2 linked regions of the Styela clava genome follow. The protein of the gene in region 1 purifies or fractionates together with the protein of each later gene. This does not show direct contact. Links are inferred from orthologs where the notes say so. Each region holds a gene or a part of one and is shown on either strand. Other genes may lie near its edges. The genes, in order: drebrin-like protein B and neuralized-like protein 4.

Region 1 (7,947 bases):
TCGTCCACATTGTTCATAAAATTAAAGAATATACTCTATGTTTGGTATTATATATGGCAAAGTCAAAACGTGCTGCTACTGTTCTGACATAATAAAATTGAATCTATAAGGTATGTGCTTTTCTCTGAATGTGTCGTGATGCTGCCTTTATTGGCGGTTTTTGAGAAATCACCACTCCAAAAACGATAATTTTCGAAATTCTCAAACTAATTCACGAGAATGCGCAAATTTTTTTTTATTATTACTTTATACTTTCTGAAACTTATTCTAAGTTGAATAGACGTACAGTATTGATGAGCGACAAAAAAAAAAAGATATTTGATCAATTATCCTGCAACTTTAGTTCAAATACAAACCCTTTTTTAATATGTTACGTACCGTTGTTTAAAAAATTGAAGAATATACGCTATGTTTGGTATTATATATGGCCAAGTCAAAACGTGATGCTACTGTTCTGGCATAATAAAATCGAATCTATAATATATGTGCTTTTATCCGAATATGTCGTAGTGCTGCCTTTATTGGTGGTTTTCAAAAAATCGCCATTTTAAAAACGATAATTTTTTGTAATCCAGGACAGAATCCACTAGAAGTCGCAATTGTTTTTTTGCTGTTTTATACTTCCCGCAGCGTATTCCAAGTTTAATAGATGTACGGTATTAATGTGTGACAAAGAGAAAATGATATTTAATCAATTATCTAGCAAATTTAGTTGAAATACAAAATAAATTTTAAATTTGTTACGTCCATGCCGTTTGTAAAATTTAGATTACACGATATGTTTGGTAATATATATGGTCAAGCCAAGACGTGCTGCTACTGTTCTGTTATAGAAAAATCGAATTTATAGGATATCTGCTTTTTTCTAAATGTGTCGTGGTGCTGTCTTTATTGGCGGTTTTCAGGGAATCGAGGTTCCGAAAAGGATAATTTTTCGAAACTTCGTATTTGCGGAATACCTGAAAATTCATTTTTCGCTGAGTTAGTCTTTTTTTAAACACTATTTTCTTGGTAAATTCAATGTATTCATTCAGTTTGAAGATTTTTCATGTATTTCCGTGCTAAAATTATATTTTGATCAGCCTTTTCAGTTTCATATGTAACTATAAGTGAAATTTATATGCGCGTGGAACCTATATTCAATGTGTAAAAATATTCTGGCTGAAAGTTCTGCTAGCTTCACAGAGGTGTTGCGTAGTCATCAATGGTGACAAAGTGGATATTTATCAACCTCTGACCCCAAAAAAATTACTCAAAGTGTTTTCGCAAGTTGGCGTTTATAAAATCTGAAAATGGATTCTTTTTTTGAAATCATCGGTTTGCTGAAAAATGTCAAATAAACTGCCCATAAAGATATAAAGACGGTTAAAGATATTGGAAATGTGGGTCATTTTTGCCAATGCCGATATCCTAAAAATATTGCCGATATTGTTCGTTACATAAGATTAAGTACATGCTAATAGAAACTTGACAGTCAGTGCAAAGTGAACACTCAAAAAACGTTTGGAAATTTTGCCACTCGGTGGTGTAAAGTAAACGACGAAGCAAAAAAAGCTTCTCGATATCTTGTTGTCACACATTGCATATAAAGCGGATCATAGAAAACAAATACCAAGTTACACTCATATTATAGTATTTTTAACGGGATTTCATAATAGTACACAATTTTGATTGCTCCAGCCCACTCATGCAGTCATGATCCATTTAATGTGTTGTGCGTCCACATTCAGGAAATGCATGGTGGTTTGGGAAGCTATTGATCTGATACATGTAAACCGTTTGCTATGGATTCAGAGATGTAGTACAGGTACGCAGTTTTCGAATTCGAGCATAACATGGTGTAGGCCTATTTCAATTTTGGTATAAATTAATCTGCATGAATGGCTTTGAAAGTCCCTTTCGGAAATTATTAATAAATGCCAGATTGAACTTCAAACATATTCAATCCTAAATTTTCCAGAATCCCTTCTTTAAACTGATATTTGTTATTGTGGATCTTTTCATTTTACCCATTGTAATCACATAGGCCTACAACATGGCCCATCTTGTTGTACATGATATATATATTTCACAAAAACAATAATTAAACTACTTCCGTGCAAATTTTGGATACATTGTTGATCGTATTCCTTTTTGATATTTTGAAAATAATGGTTTACGCATCTGGGTCTGACTTTGTCACGTCGTCTTTTTTCCATAATATGTATAGTATATTATACTCCTCGGTGATAGCGATGTAAATAGAACGGCAATCCAGAATACACATTAACATATAAAGCTTGAAAACAATGTCAACGATCAACTAAAGTACTAAACCATCAACAACTTGGTGACCGTACATTTCAACCCATGTGTATATCCGCGGGTTCAATCTATGCGGATGCTAAAACCCATGGGTTGGGGTTAGTATGGGTTCAAATATCCGCAAAACAGAAAAAAATCCATAGGTGCAATAGTATGCAGGTGCAATTGTCGTGGGTTCAAATGTACGGTAACCCAACAACTTTATAGAGTGTGTGTTTATTACTCCCGTGGTTTATTTTCGGGGGATGTCTTATAATTTCATTTATCAAAAACAAAATTAGAAAGTACAGAAATAGGGGATTTTAAAATATTAAAACCGATATCCATTTATTTAATTGACACGTTTTCCTCTCTCACACGTTTTAGAATAATCATTTCAAACGTATGGGAGAGATTTCTTGCTATCGACCAGATAAAAAAAAATTCGCGTTATTGACTAGTAGCCTAAATCTTATATATTTGCTGGCCGTGATACCAAGATCATTACGTTGGATGTATCGGGACGAACTGCAGTGACTAAATAATAAAGATGTAATTTTTGAAATTCATTTACTGTACCATAAAAACCAATTGTAAAAAGCTTCAGGGCGCTAACTGCAATGCCAATCACAGTTGTAGAGAGTTATGATTATCGGTATATATACTTCATTTTCTTGCAAAGCATGTTTGAGGAGGTCGTTACAGGGTTGTTCACGAGATTTCTTTCTTTGCCCTCCAGGCCGTGTACGTGACAAATCAAAATCTTGGTCCCTGACATCATGTTGACACTTTACATGTATGGTCAATCATAGCAAATAACAGTCCCATCATGATATTTCTAACGGAATTTTAAAATAGTACACAATCGTTTTGATTACTTCAGCCCACTCATGTTGTAGTCTTGATTCGTTCATGCTCTATTCAGGAAGTGCATGGTGGGTTGGGAAGTCATTGGTCTGATATATATGAACACGTCTATATTGTGCATTGCCAGTTTAAAATGGATTTTGGTATGTGGTGGCTAGTAAGGGTACATAGTACACTAAATTACACATAACGCGTTGAATTTCAGATTTATTATAAATTGACCTGCATGAATAAATTTACCAGTAACTTCATTTGCGAATTTCGTTAATTGTTCATAAGTGTCAAATTTTGAACATCTATCAGGAATTCCTCAGGCTTATTGGTTCAAACAATAAACTTGTGCTTGTGAAACTTCATTTTTATACTTTTATTCATCATAATTAGTTGTAACATCTCGCATCCTTTTTTACACACACGCTTTACAAAGAACAAGTGCGATAATAATTAAATTAATCTTGTTCAGTAATGGCGTCGGCTGTGCTCAGGTGGCTAGATGGTTTATAATCTGGGAAATAGATACCCTTATTGTACCCGTAACTGGTGAACGAGAAGTCTGTAAGGTACCGATATAATAGTATATTGACTTATGGAGTAAAAATTGCTGTTGTCAAGTGTGCTTTCAGTATGGTGAGAAAATAAACTACTGATTACTGATTCCAAAACACTAACTTAGCTCTAAAATGTGGCCGAATTTCACAAGCGCCTGAGCGTACGTAGGGTTTGAGTCTGAGATGCCGTGATAAATATTGGTGCCGGTAATACAATATAATACCGTGATAAATATCGGTGCCGGTAATACAGTGATATATCAGTATATATAATATAATACCGTAATAAATATCGGGACCGGTAATACAATATCGTTTTATTATTGAAGAAACAGGATTGCTTTAGTCCGATGGTCAATATACATTCCCCGCCCGACTTCTGGACTTTGATTGTGTAAATGTGTAGTTGTGTGTTGCGATTTTTGTACCGGTACGGTTACTACGACGGGGTTCAAAATAAACCTCATCATCTATCAATGCAACTAATATTACAGCAGTACTGTATTCGCGGTACTGAATCAACCAGTTTAATCCTAGTGTCTTGAGTGTTGGGAAAATGGTGAGATGTATGCTGGGATAAGAAGCCCTAATACTGTAATATTAGGGTGACCATAACACAGTAACAGGTAGTCAGGTACCGGTATAGGGTCTGGTATAGTTTAGTACCACATCCACTTCTAGTTGGCCTGGCTCAACACTTTTTGCATATGTCAATCCTAACCCCCACCTGACTACTTCACCGAAAAATTACGTCCTACCGGTTTCACAGTGGCGTAATACTGTAGTAAGGCCCACCGATATATGCGGATGGTCGTCCAAAACGCGCAGACGATAACCCGAAATCGAGCAAGCTATTTCTCTCGTTTTCTCATCGCAACGATCACGATAGGAGAGAGATTGCCGGCTTTAGCAAGTTCTTATCGGTGGCGCAGATGCCATTTCGGGCGATCGTAATTATACTTTGGCAATCCCTATGACGTGATGGTGACGTCGTAGTGACGTAATTTTTGGATGGCATAGTCAGGTGAGGGTTCATATGTTATTCCTCGTTAAAATCGTTATGCTACGCCCACTGGAAGTACTTGTGGTACTAAACTATACTAGACCCCCGGTATATACTGATTTGGATTTTCTCATTAACTGCATAAAAAGTTTTGACTCATTTCAAGTACTGACACTTCTGCACTTGCTGTGACTATGGCACCAACAAAGTCTTGTATCAGACACACACCAGCCCAATGCTGCGATGTCTGAATCCTAGAATCTCATATGGCTGTTTTGATTAAGCTTTTATTTTGCCTCTTCACACATTCTACTTCGATAATATAACATGTTGTATCGAGTGATAAATAAATTCTAATATAACATTCAATATCAAAAATAGTGCAGTAGCGTGACTGGATTTCAGCTTTGAATTTGGATTGTATATAATATATATATGTGTACCAAAAATTAGTGTTGCTTTGTGATTTCATCCAGCTGTTTATTAAAAATGAGTGTCAGTTTTTTTAAACACAAACAGGCGTTAATCAATACCTACAAAGAGGTTCTTGATGAAAAATCGGACACAGATTGGGCTCTTTTCACGTATGAAGGTAAAGATAATGAATTGAAGGTGGCAGGTACTGGAGAAGATGGCTTGGAAGAATTAGAAACTGAATTTAATAGTTCCAAGATCATGTATGCTTTTATTCGAGTTAAAGATCCAAAAACTTCTCTCAACAAGTTCATATTTTTGCATTGGCAAGGTGAAGGTGCTCCTGCAAATAGGAAAGGTGCTTGTGCCAACCATGTTAGGGATGTGGAAAGATTTTTTAAAGGAGCTCACATTACTATCAATGCTCGAAACGAGGATGATGTTACCCCAGAGCAAATCATGGAGCATATTAATCGTGCATCCGCGTCTACATATGCATTTGACAAGACAAAAGGTTCATATGATGATCCATCTGAGCCTGTTGGGTCAGTATATAAAAAGATAAATCCTGGTGCAGAAATAAGTTCCAAAAGAAATGAGAATTATTGGGAAAAGCAAGAAAGGGAAGAAGAGCAAAGGAAAAAACAAGAATTGAGAAAGGCGCAAGAAGAGAAAAATAGATATGCTCAAGAAGTTCGCGAAAGGGAAAAAGAGTCAAGCATGAGAAGACAAAATTGGGAAAAAGAAAGAGAAAAAGAAATTAGTGAGAAAGTAAGAGCTGCAAAACTTACTGACGACACTGCTGATGTTCGTAAAAGAGAGAAAGAAAAATGGGAAGCAGAACAACGTGAATTTGAAGCACATGAAGAACGGGGAAGAAAAAGAAGTGAATCTATAGAGAAAGCAGCTGAAGCAGCGCATCTTGTGCAACAACGAGACACTAATATGCGTGCTTTATGGGAACAAAAAATAAATGAAGCGACTCCTTCAAGTCAACCTGTTATTCAAAGGCAGCCCTCGAAACAAGGCGAAAGACCAATTGAAACATATCAACCGGCTGATGTTGAAGAACCAGAATATGAAACATTCGAAGAAGAAACTCGGAATAACGATAACAATATTGTGGACAATAAGCAGGAACCCACAAAATATGATGCGGAAGCAAATAAGAGTGGATATTCAGCAAGAGCTATTTATGATTATCAAGCTGTTGATGAGACCGAGATCAGTTTTGATCCCAATGATATTATCACTGATATTGAAGATATGGACGAGGCATGGGGAAGAGGTGTGGCCCCTGATGGACACTCTGGACTTTTTCCTCTCAATTATGTCGAGCGTTTGGAATCTGCTCCAAAAGCAGCAGAAGGTCATAAAACTTCCGATAATGTTTATGATGCAGTGGGCCATAATCAACAGGACGAAGGTCAAGGGGCACAAGATAATATATATGATGCAGTAGGAGAAAATCCTGGGGAAAGTAATGATGAAGATATTAAAAGTCCACATTCAGCAAGAGCTCTTTATGATTATCAAGCTGCTGATGATTCCGAAATTACTTTTGATCCAGACGATATCATCACTAACATTGAAATGATTGATGAAGGATGGTGGAGAGGTTCAACACCAGATGGAAAGTATGGACTTTTTCCAGCTAATTATGTGGAGCTTATTACAGAGTAAATTACTGCAATTGCCAAAGAATATATTCTTTATTGTGATGCTGCCTAAGTTATAACATGCCTTTATAGGACCAATCCAATCACCAAGTGTTTTTTTGACATTGAGTATTGTGAAAACATACTAATGCATCTTGAAAGTGAAATATTTGTAAATAAGCATGAGTCACAATAATATATCCACGCAAGATTATATTATACTAAGACATGAACACCAACTAGCGGGCTACACATGTTCTTGCTATTTTGCTTCTCAATGTTAACAATCACTTTACTTAGGCGAGATAGTTGCATCATTTATTAATAAATAACTATGGCTGTATCAAAGCTCGGTTGGCTAATTCAATCTAGTTTTAATTATATATTTTACCTGAATGTCATATAAACTATAATGGTATTATTATCTGTTATAAACAATGTTACCTGCGCCTAATTATTTTTCTAATGCAGTTTTTGACATCTGGCTGTCTTTGTTATTGTTGTATCCAATTATAAAACACTATTATTTCATAGTTGTTTTAATCGAAAATCAAAAATAGACTTGAACTTCATTCTTTTTTTGATTACAGTTTTTTCAAATCCTGTCAGACAATGTTTGCTTGTAATATATCTATTTTTTTTTTCAATCAAAAAACATTCAGTATATAACAATATGCTTCTACAATTTTTAATTTGTTTCTGTCCTCCATTAGAATAATTAATTGTTGGCTATATTTTAGGCAGATAAGATCATGATTTATGTCATACTTTACTCGGTCAATATTCTTATTTCATGCAAATTGAATCCAAGGTCATATCATTTGATTGTGAGCTTACCTAATGAATATCATTTGTATTGAAACTGATATAAGATGATATCAAGTTATATATATTTGCTTTTGTAATCCTCACTCAACGTATTCCAATAGGGAAAGCAATTTCCCTCATTTGTGTCTTTACCAAACTGCATTTAGTTTATACATATATTCAAATGTAACGATTATGTCTTAATTTAGATCTTAAAATAAAGACTTCATTATGACATTTTCTTCAAAGCTAACGGATGAAGAAGAATTTTTAAAGAAAAAATATACTGTACTACGTAAGAAGAAGAAAGAGTTACAGCAGCTTCGTATGAAGCGCAAACAACAGGAAAATGAAGCTGCAGAAAATG
Region 2 (8,174 bases), on another chromosome or scaffold:
CTGACCATTTTTCTACAACATCTTCCACTTTAACAGTAAAGGTTTCTCCTGCACGATAAAATATTAGCATTATTGCAATTAATTATATAGTAAAAATGTTTGTAAAAATGTAAATATATATAGGAATGATAAATTGGAAATAATTTTGGGTTTTACCTGATTAATAGCTAATTTTTTTTTTGATTGTTCAAATAACTGTCAAATATGATCATATCACATGAATGAGGCTAAACCAGTATATATCATTTTATAAAATGCAAGAATGCTGAAGTCAGCCTACATGGGAATTTGATATTTGAGGAATGGTTTGATCCACCATAAATTAACAAAGGGGCAACACCAAAGATGATGAAAATGAAAATCAAACTTTGTTTTCTAATGTACGCACCAGTATTCAGAGTTCTTGCACTCAGCACTACTGCATGATTAAAATCTTCCAGAGGATTTTGCCGCATGGCTGATTTCTTGCACGATGACAGTTCGATGTGCTTTCCACATGAAACATCAAACAGAAGTGGTTCACGTTCTTCAAGAAGATTAGAATCAAGCAAAATTCTGTCAACAACCGCATTGTTTCTTCGACTCCTAATAATATAACGAGGAAAAGTTTTCGTTATGGAATAAGTAAACAAAAGCTGAATGGCCTACGCCACGCCTATTTATATGGCCCATATTTTTGGATGCTTTTTCCTATTCGTAACAAGACCTGCATTTTTGACTTTGTGTCACATGATTATAAAAAGCATAAGTTCTACACTGAGTGGTGTCTAAAATACTTCTTTGTTCAACACAATCAGGATGTGGTATGCCTGATTTATGCAAGCAATATAGCAGTGTAAAATTGCTGTACAAAACATTCTGCTGGTTACTATAGCTAAATAGTTTGGCCATCAGCATCATCATTATTTTATGTTTTAGGTCATTGCGATAAACAGTTGCATACCCATGTCCTGGACAAAATAATCCATCATATCAAAAAAAGTTATTATTACTATATACCAATATATAACAGAATGAAATTGAAATTACATGGTAACTTGGCATCTGTAACTGATTTTAAAATGAATTTGAAAAGTTTATATTAGTTCATGAAATCATTACAAATTATTTAATCAACTTGTTGTGATATCTATAAAAAGGTGATCAATAAATGGGTGATAGCATTTTATCTGGATAAAGAACAAACCTTTCAAAAACAGAGTGATGTGGAACAATTGAAACACTGACTGCTCTGCCATATAAATCCACAACACCATATATATGAGGAGGTATATTGTTTGCTGCAACACCTTGGTCTACTCCATTGATGAAAAAGTGTAAAGTACCTAAAATATAGAAATAAATATATTTAGTAGCAGTATATATAGTTGATGCACCTAGTCCAGCTAACCACAAATCCTGCTTTATGAAATAATATACCAAAACTCATGATTACTCAACCAGTCATAGTTACACCTTACACGTAAAACTGCAATATGTTCAACATAATTTGTTCAAATTGGCAAAATGTATAAGAGGTAATTAAAATTTATTTTTCTCAACGATTGAAGTTTCATATATAATCAAGAATTGCACTTTCTTGTTTGGATTCTGGTTATTAATACAGTAATAGTTGAATATATTGAAAATTCTGTCATGTTGAGTGGTAACTAATATTGTTTTTTGATTTGACGATCAATAAATTCCTTCCTCTCTGTAACTACATATAATGTTTATCAAACCCAATTGAATAATATTGCTAGTCACTTCTTACCTTCCTCTTTCCTCATTAGACCGATATGATCTCCAACTTTTAATTCGTCCAAATGAAAATCTAGATAGTGTTTTCTGCTACCTTTACCATTTGTAATGATCCCACAGCCACTCAACATTACTGTACCAGACCGAAGATTTGTCATCGTGCTCGGGATCTCCAGCAAATCAGGAGCATGTGTAGTAACACCCATTTCAATAGAGCCAGACCATTTGTCTGTCAAGGCGTTGAGTTTTATTTCAAATAATTCATCATTTTTCAATGTTCGATTTGTCATAACGACACCGTTATTAAACTCATCTTGATGATGGGAGCGGACCGCAGTCATACCACCTTCCAGTAGTTGTATTAAAGAACCACATTTTGCATAAAATACTAATGATTCTCCATCCAAAAAGCAAGACTGATGTTGCAACATTTTACTTCTATTTCTTCTGTCAAATAAAACTTCTGAAAATGTTAATGAATCTTGCAGATTTGAAACTTGTGGTAAAGAGACTGTTGAATCGGAGACTATTGTTACACCAGCACATTTTCCATACAAATTAACCATAGCCCAAACGGATTCATATATGCACACAGCAGCAACACCTTGATCAGCTCCATTTATATACAAATGAACTTGGTTATTATCATTTCTCATGATACCTACAGTATCTCCAATGTCTAAAGAATCCAAGTCCTGACAATAATCATCAATTGTTGCCACACCATCTATATTCACCGAAGTTCCGGATATAAACCAACTGCCATGTCGAATTGCAATCGCCCCCTTTGGAATAACTAATTTTGATGGATCTGTTGCAACCAGCCCAATTTCAATAGAACCACTCCATGAAGCGATTTTTTTGTCTATGCATATGGTAAACAGTTCATTTGCTTTCAATGGATTTTCAGAAAATATCATTCCATCATTGAATTCCTCTTTGGCATGCTTCCTTCCAGCACTTGTGTAGTGTTTCGATAGTTCAACCAGTCGACCTGTTCGTCTGTGAAACTTTTGTGCATTTGTCATTTTAAATTTGAAAAACAATTACTCTTTGTTGTTTTCAATTCTTCTGTGCAGTGGTATATTGCACTGGGTTAATTATAAAGTTGAATTTATTTCTTGTTGGCTCATATGCTTCATGTTTCATATGTTGTATGTATTTATCAAGTACTGAGGTAATTGGTATTTAATTTTAAATATCCAACAGTTGCATTATAGGCACAGACAATCCATTGGCATGGATTGTATGTCAGTAAGTAGCTAAAATTTGAACAGGAAAGATGTTGAAAATTGCAATATCTGAATATTGACTAAGCGGTCTAGTATAGTTTAGGGGTCTGGTACCGGTATAGTTTAGTTCCACATGCACTTCTAGTTGGCCTGGCTCAACAACTTTTGCATATGTCAATCCTAACCCCCACCTGACTACGTCACCGAAAAATTACGTCATTTCGACGTCACGGTGGCGTAATAAGGCCCACCAAAGTATCCGGATGGTCGTCCAAAACGCGCAGACGATCACCCGAAATCGAACAAGCTATTTTTCTCGTCACGACGATAACGGTAGGAGAGAGATCGCCAGCTTTAGCGAGTTCGTTTTCGGCGGCGTAGATGCCATTTCGCAAGTGCAGTTTTAAGTATTCTATGGCGTCTGCAGCTGCCGCAAAACCATGGCGGTATTTCCATACCATGGCCGCTACGGCCAAACCTATGGCGACTGAATTTTTAGCTGCCACAAACCAATGTCGAGCTGCCGTTACCGCGGCAGCAAATTGAAAACCAATGGCAGGTAAAATTTTGCTGCCTTAACCGCGGCAGGTGGGCCGTAAGGACAGGGCTGTCCCTTAGGGTGACAAATATTGGGTAAGTTGGAACGTTTTTCTTATGGATACAGTCTTGATGGATTTGGGGTTAGGGTTAGGGTTTAAGTAGATATAATTCCCCATGATCAATTAGAATTTGGTACATTAGTTTGTGAATATACCGTTAATACTGATTACTGAATACAGAATAGCGCTATAAAACCATGGCAAGAGCTGCCGCGGTTCGTTCGTGGCAGGAGCTGCCATAAAGTGGTAAGAACTGCGCCTCCCATTTCGGGCGATCGTAATTATACTTTGGCAAGCCCTATGACGTGGTGAAGTCGTAGTGACGTAATTTTTGGATGACATAGTCAGGTGGGGGTTATGAATAACATATGCAAAATTCGTTACGGTAAAATCGAGTAACTTCGGGTGCCTTGTAACTTCGAATGAAATTTTCAATCGTTTATATCTCGACTAAATAGCGTCATATTGTGCTTCTAGCAGTTTCTTTAGTGAGTCCTTATATATCTCAATCTGTTATCATATTCAATCGCGCAGTTTAATCCACTTTTTGATTAAGAATCTCGTTTTAGCATAAAATTGACACTCAGTTTTCGAGCGGTTCAAATCGTGACTTCTACCGATGCTAACTTCGTCAAAATACCGTCATTCGACAGAGGACGTTATCAATGTATATAAAAAATTAGACTGATCGCGAGATGTCGCTGATACTCGAGACACAAATAAAATCCAAATATTTTTTTTATATCAAAATAATGGCATCTAACGCACACGTTGAACTGACGTCACCCTGACGTCGCTCACTTCCAAGGAAACGTCATGTTGCGTCGCCGTTACAGATTTGACGCCAGACATTCGGGCGCCGACGAGTAGGCTTAGAATTGAAAATAACAGCGATATTTTGTTCGATTGGAGCAATATCGGCTAAAATATACACATCAACAGTTTTCTGTGGATCTCAAATTCATGGCGTCAAATGCTGGAAATGTAATTTAATTAAGTTTATTAAAATTGGAAATTAACGAAAAACATTTTCGTTCGATTTGACGATTCAAATTCCTCCATATGGAACGGCAGCATGGTTTAAAATAGAAAAATTGTAAGCAGTCAAGAAATGCTGCGCAAATATAAAATCAGCGATAAATAACAAAAATCATTGTTGCAAGTGAGACTTCCGTTTAATAAATTTAACGTAGTATATATTTACGATTTAACTAAAGTAATTTAAATTAAAGTTGCCAAATCGGTGTTTTGTCCTGATTTATGCACGACCGACATTTTAATAGGTCAGTTTAATAGAGAATTCGGTCATATGCATGCTCAATAATATTTATTGTTTAAAAAAGGAATGTAACCGCTTTTCTTGTTATAGTTGAACCGTAAATATATAACTATGTATGTCTGAAGAAGTCTGACCTTGGTCAGACGAAACGTTACAGAAATATATTTGTGTTAGTGCGCAGCAAGACTCTTGAATCACTTAAGACTAATTTTAATGTTTGCACTTAAACATTGAAATTTCATTTAAAGAGGGTGTGATACAAAACAGCAAAACTGTTTATACTTCTCTTAACGGTGCTGTGATACAATTCCATAACACAAAGTTTGCACCCATCGAACTTGCTTTAGTAGGTGAATTTATTAGACATATTACATATTCAGTTTATCTTAGGTAACATTGATGGTACATATTGCCTCGTAGATAGGTTTGCGTCTAAATTTAGGAATTTAGCTCATAGCCCACTAATTAATATTATCTTCTATGTAGGAGGTTGCAGGGCTGAAATCAACTTGCAGCCTTACCGATCACCTGATGATGCTCATTTACTTTGGCTCGAGCAAGTCTTCTTGAAAGACTTCACCGATTTAAAGATGTCAAAATGATGGATATCAATAAACCAGTTGAAAACCAACACACAATATTACAAATTTACTTCCGATACGCGGTTTAAATGAATAACCTGAAACTAGTATTCTTTAGAACAGCATACAAATTCTATGGGATGAAATCATACACAAAAGCTCGTCAAAAACCTATAGATCAATAGACAAGTGGAATTTGATGCATGTGCGCAAAAATGTGCGCGTTACCCCATGCAACCGAAGCACTCAGGAAAATATATGTGATGTGCTAGTGATCAAAATGTTTGACTCAACTATGTTGGCATAAAAGGTGCACATCTCGGTTTCGCATACGCATATCCTCTATTTCCACAAGAATATATTAATTTGGCCGAAGTCAATGCTGAACCTGAAAGGTTCCGGTTCTTCCAAAAGAAAACACGTTACACATCATTAGATACCAGTGGATGGTTTTACATGGCCTAGTTCGGAGCGAAAGACGAGGTCAAATATTGCAATCCATTTCAACTAATAAACGATTTCACAAGTCCCGAAACTTTAAGCAGGAAAACGAAACGCCCGCGGCAACACAAATGTAGTTTGAAGAGTGCAAAAAAAGTGGCTAGATGCTGTCGATAGATCTTGGCTTCTATTAGTGAAATGAACTACCATTTATTGTACTAAAATTGAATTTCTGACACTGTGAGGAGATTCAATGTTACTATGTCTTCAGAACTAACCCATGTAGTTATGAAATAATTGTTTTTAACAAAAAGGTGCTCTCGAAGTATTGGTACCAAGATGGCACACAACCTGAACATTGTATGTTTACCAGGTTAAGGTTCAGGATACGCGTCATCTTGGTACGAATATTTCCGGAGCGCCCCGAAATCCACTTAGGAAAAATTGCTCAACATTATATACTCCACACCCACCTGGGTATCTTTATTTATGTCATCGACATTATATCTAAACAATAAAAAAAACTTTATGTCTCAAAACGAGGTTCGCCCCCGATTCTGTGGGACGGTGTCGTGCCGATGGTGTCCTGGATTTTTGGAGCAGCACAACTTGTCTACACGCCGACAAACGACAATTTATGAAAATTCGCCCAAGGACTATGAAATTCACCCGGAACGGGGATCATCTGAAGAATTATTATCACCACTCAAGAAAAGTGGTGGGTAGAGGAAAGTATTACTATAGATTCGTTGATTGATATGGAAAAGACGGCCTGCCACGTATGCGACGCGAACGGTCTATGCTGATGGTGGCCTTTCGCTGTCGCTGTTCGCTTCAAATTTTAAATTCATTTTCAGTGTTGGTATTTTAGCACAATTTTGTTGACTAAGTGGTACTTTCAGAAATTGTTTCAACAGAATATGGTGTTACCTTCGATTCATCAGAGTCTAATGCATGGTAGTGCAGATATCGAGGTCCCAACAGTTGCCAATGAGGTGAACATATTTCTTTAGTTCCAAAGTACTTTCTGACTGTTCAAGCCTCCTTACTTGGGGGAACGAGCAAAAAGCGGGTTATATGAGTAAGTTGTTTGGCAAGTATATGTGTGTGACGGAAACATCAACTCCAAGTGAGCAATTATTTTCTGCAGCTGAAAATACTGCCACTGAGCTCGCTTAGATCAAGCCTCACCGCATCACATATGGAGGCTATTGTATTTTCAAAATGCAGTCTTAGTATATGACTCTTTTTCGAGTGAGTTACTTGTGAAATATGTTTTTTATTGTGTGTGGCAACCCAGCAATGTGACTGAGTGATGTGTCTTAGGTTTTCAGTAATTTATGTGTCAGGAGGATCCGATACAACGAAAACGTCACACACAATCATTATGTATTCGTAAAGGCCCACATTAGTTATAATGTCAGACACGACACAGAGACATTTGGATAACATTAATAGAATACGTTTAGTTTTACATAACACCGCCCTTGACTGACAGTACACATCTTGTGTATAGCTGCCGTACAACCAAACCATTCAACTGGTGATTAAGACCATATAACCAAATACCACGTCCTGTAGCTTCAAAAGTTTTTAACAAAACATAACTTCAATTTATATTAGAAAAAAATACAGTACAATACAAAGCAATCTAAATGTTGCCAAACAAAAAACAAATCGGAAGAAGGTAAAAACGAGAGTAAATGCAAGTTTATGCTATGGGGACAAATTCCCTCGAGCGGCATCGCTAATATGGACAAGCCGGCAGTGTCCCTTCTGTATACTGAGATATTTTATTAGATCGAATGTCTCTGCACAGTAGGTAGCTGACAACATTGAATTTTTGGCTCCGAACTATGATATGGACAAGCACCTCCTCAAAAGAATGTTATGTTTATCCGAAATAGGCTCTTTGCAAGCAACTATTCAAAAGCTTGAAAAGTTTACTCTGTACTCTGTACACGATACGGCACGAAAGTATGGCGATTTCAATTATCTGCGCTCACATATTAAAAAAACACCACGATAGTCTTGAGTGCCTGCTCCTGTACATAGCCTACTTCAGGGCAATCATTTGATGAAAGTCTTTCAGTCGTTGGTTGTATATAGATCCTAGTCCTAGAAGCTAATATGTGATTGACCACAAACAAAACTTTGGGAAGAGCTGCCAGTCGTTAAACAGTGCTCACGATGATAATGTATAATATATACTATATAGGACACTTGAGGGCAATGTAGTGCTCATGCTGCTTAGTGTTCTATTTAAGAAAAAGAATCCCCGAGGTAATAATCTATTACCACG

What was found.
Region 2: the proteins of drebrin-like protein B (region 1) and neuralized-like protein 4 purify together in Homo sapiens (co-immunoprecipitation; 4 studies listed by BioGRID and IntAct, counting the BioPlex papers as one, with this or other methods). This does not show direct contact. The link is inferred for Styela clava from reciprocal best matches to the Homo sapiens genes DBNL and NEURL4.

What each region holds. Positions count from the first base shown.
Region 1 is NC_135250.1:12,756,458-12,764,404, reverse strand, and holds drebrin-like protein B, read left to right. Parts: upstream 1-4,759; 5' UTR 4,760-5,190; coding exon 5,191-6,798; 3' UTR 6,799-7,790; downstream 7,791-7,947. Other genes in the region: negative elongation factor E-like, read left to right, coding at 7,812-7,947. UniProt on the Homo sapiens protein: Adapter protein that binds F-actin and DNM1, and thereby plays a role in receptor-mediated endocytosis.
Region 2 is NC_135252.1:6,170,162-6,178,335, forward strand, and holds the start of neuralized-like protein 4, read right to left. Parts: upstream 3,028-8,174; 5' UTR 2,769-3,027; coding exon 1,754-2,768; intron 1,326-1,753; coding exon 1,187-1,325; intron 586-1,186; coding exon 389-585; intron 49-388; coding exon 1-48. UniProt on the Homo sapiens protein: Promotes CCP110 ubiquitination and proteasome-dependent degradation. By counteracting accumulation of CP110, maintains normal centriolar homeostasis and preventing formation of ectopic microtubular organizing centers.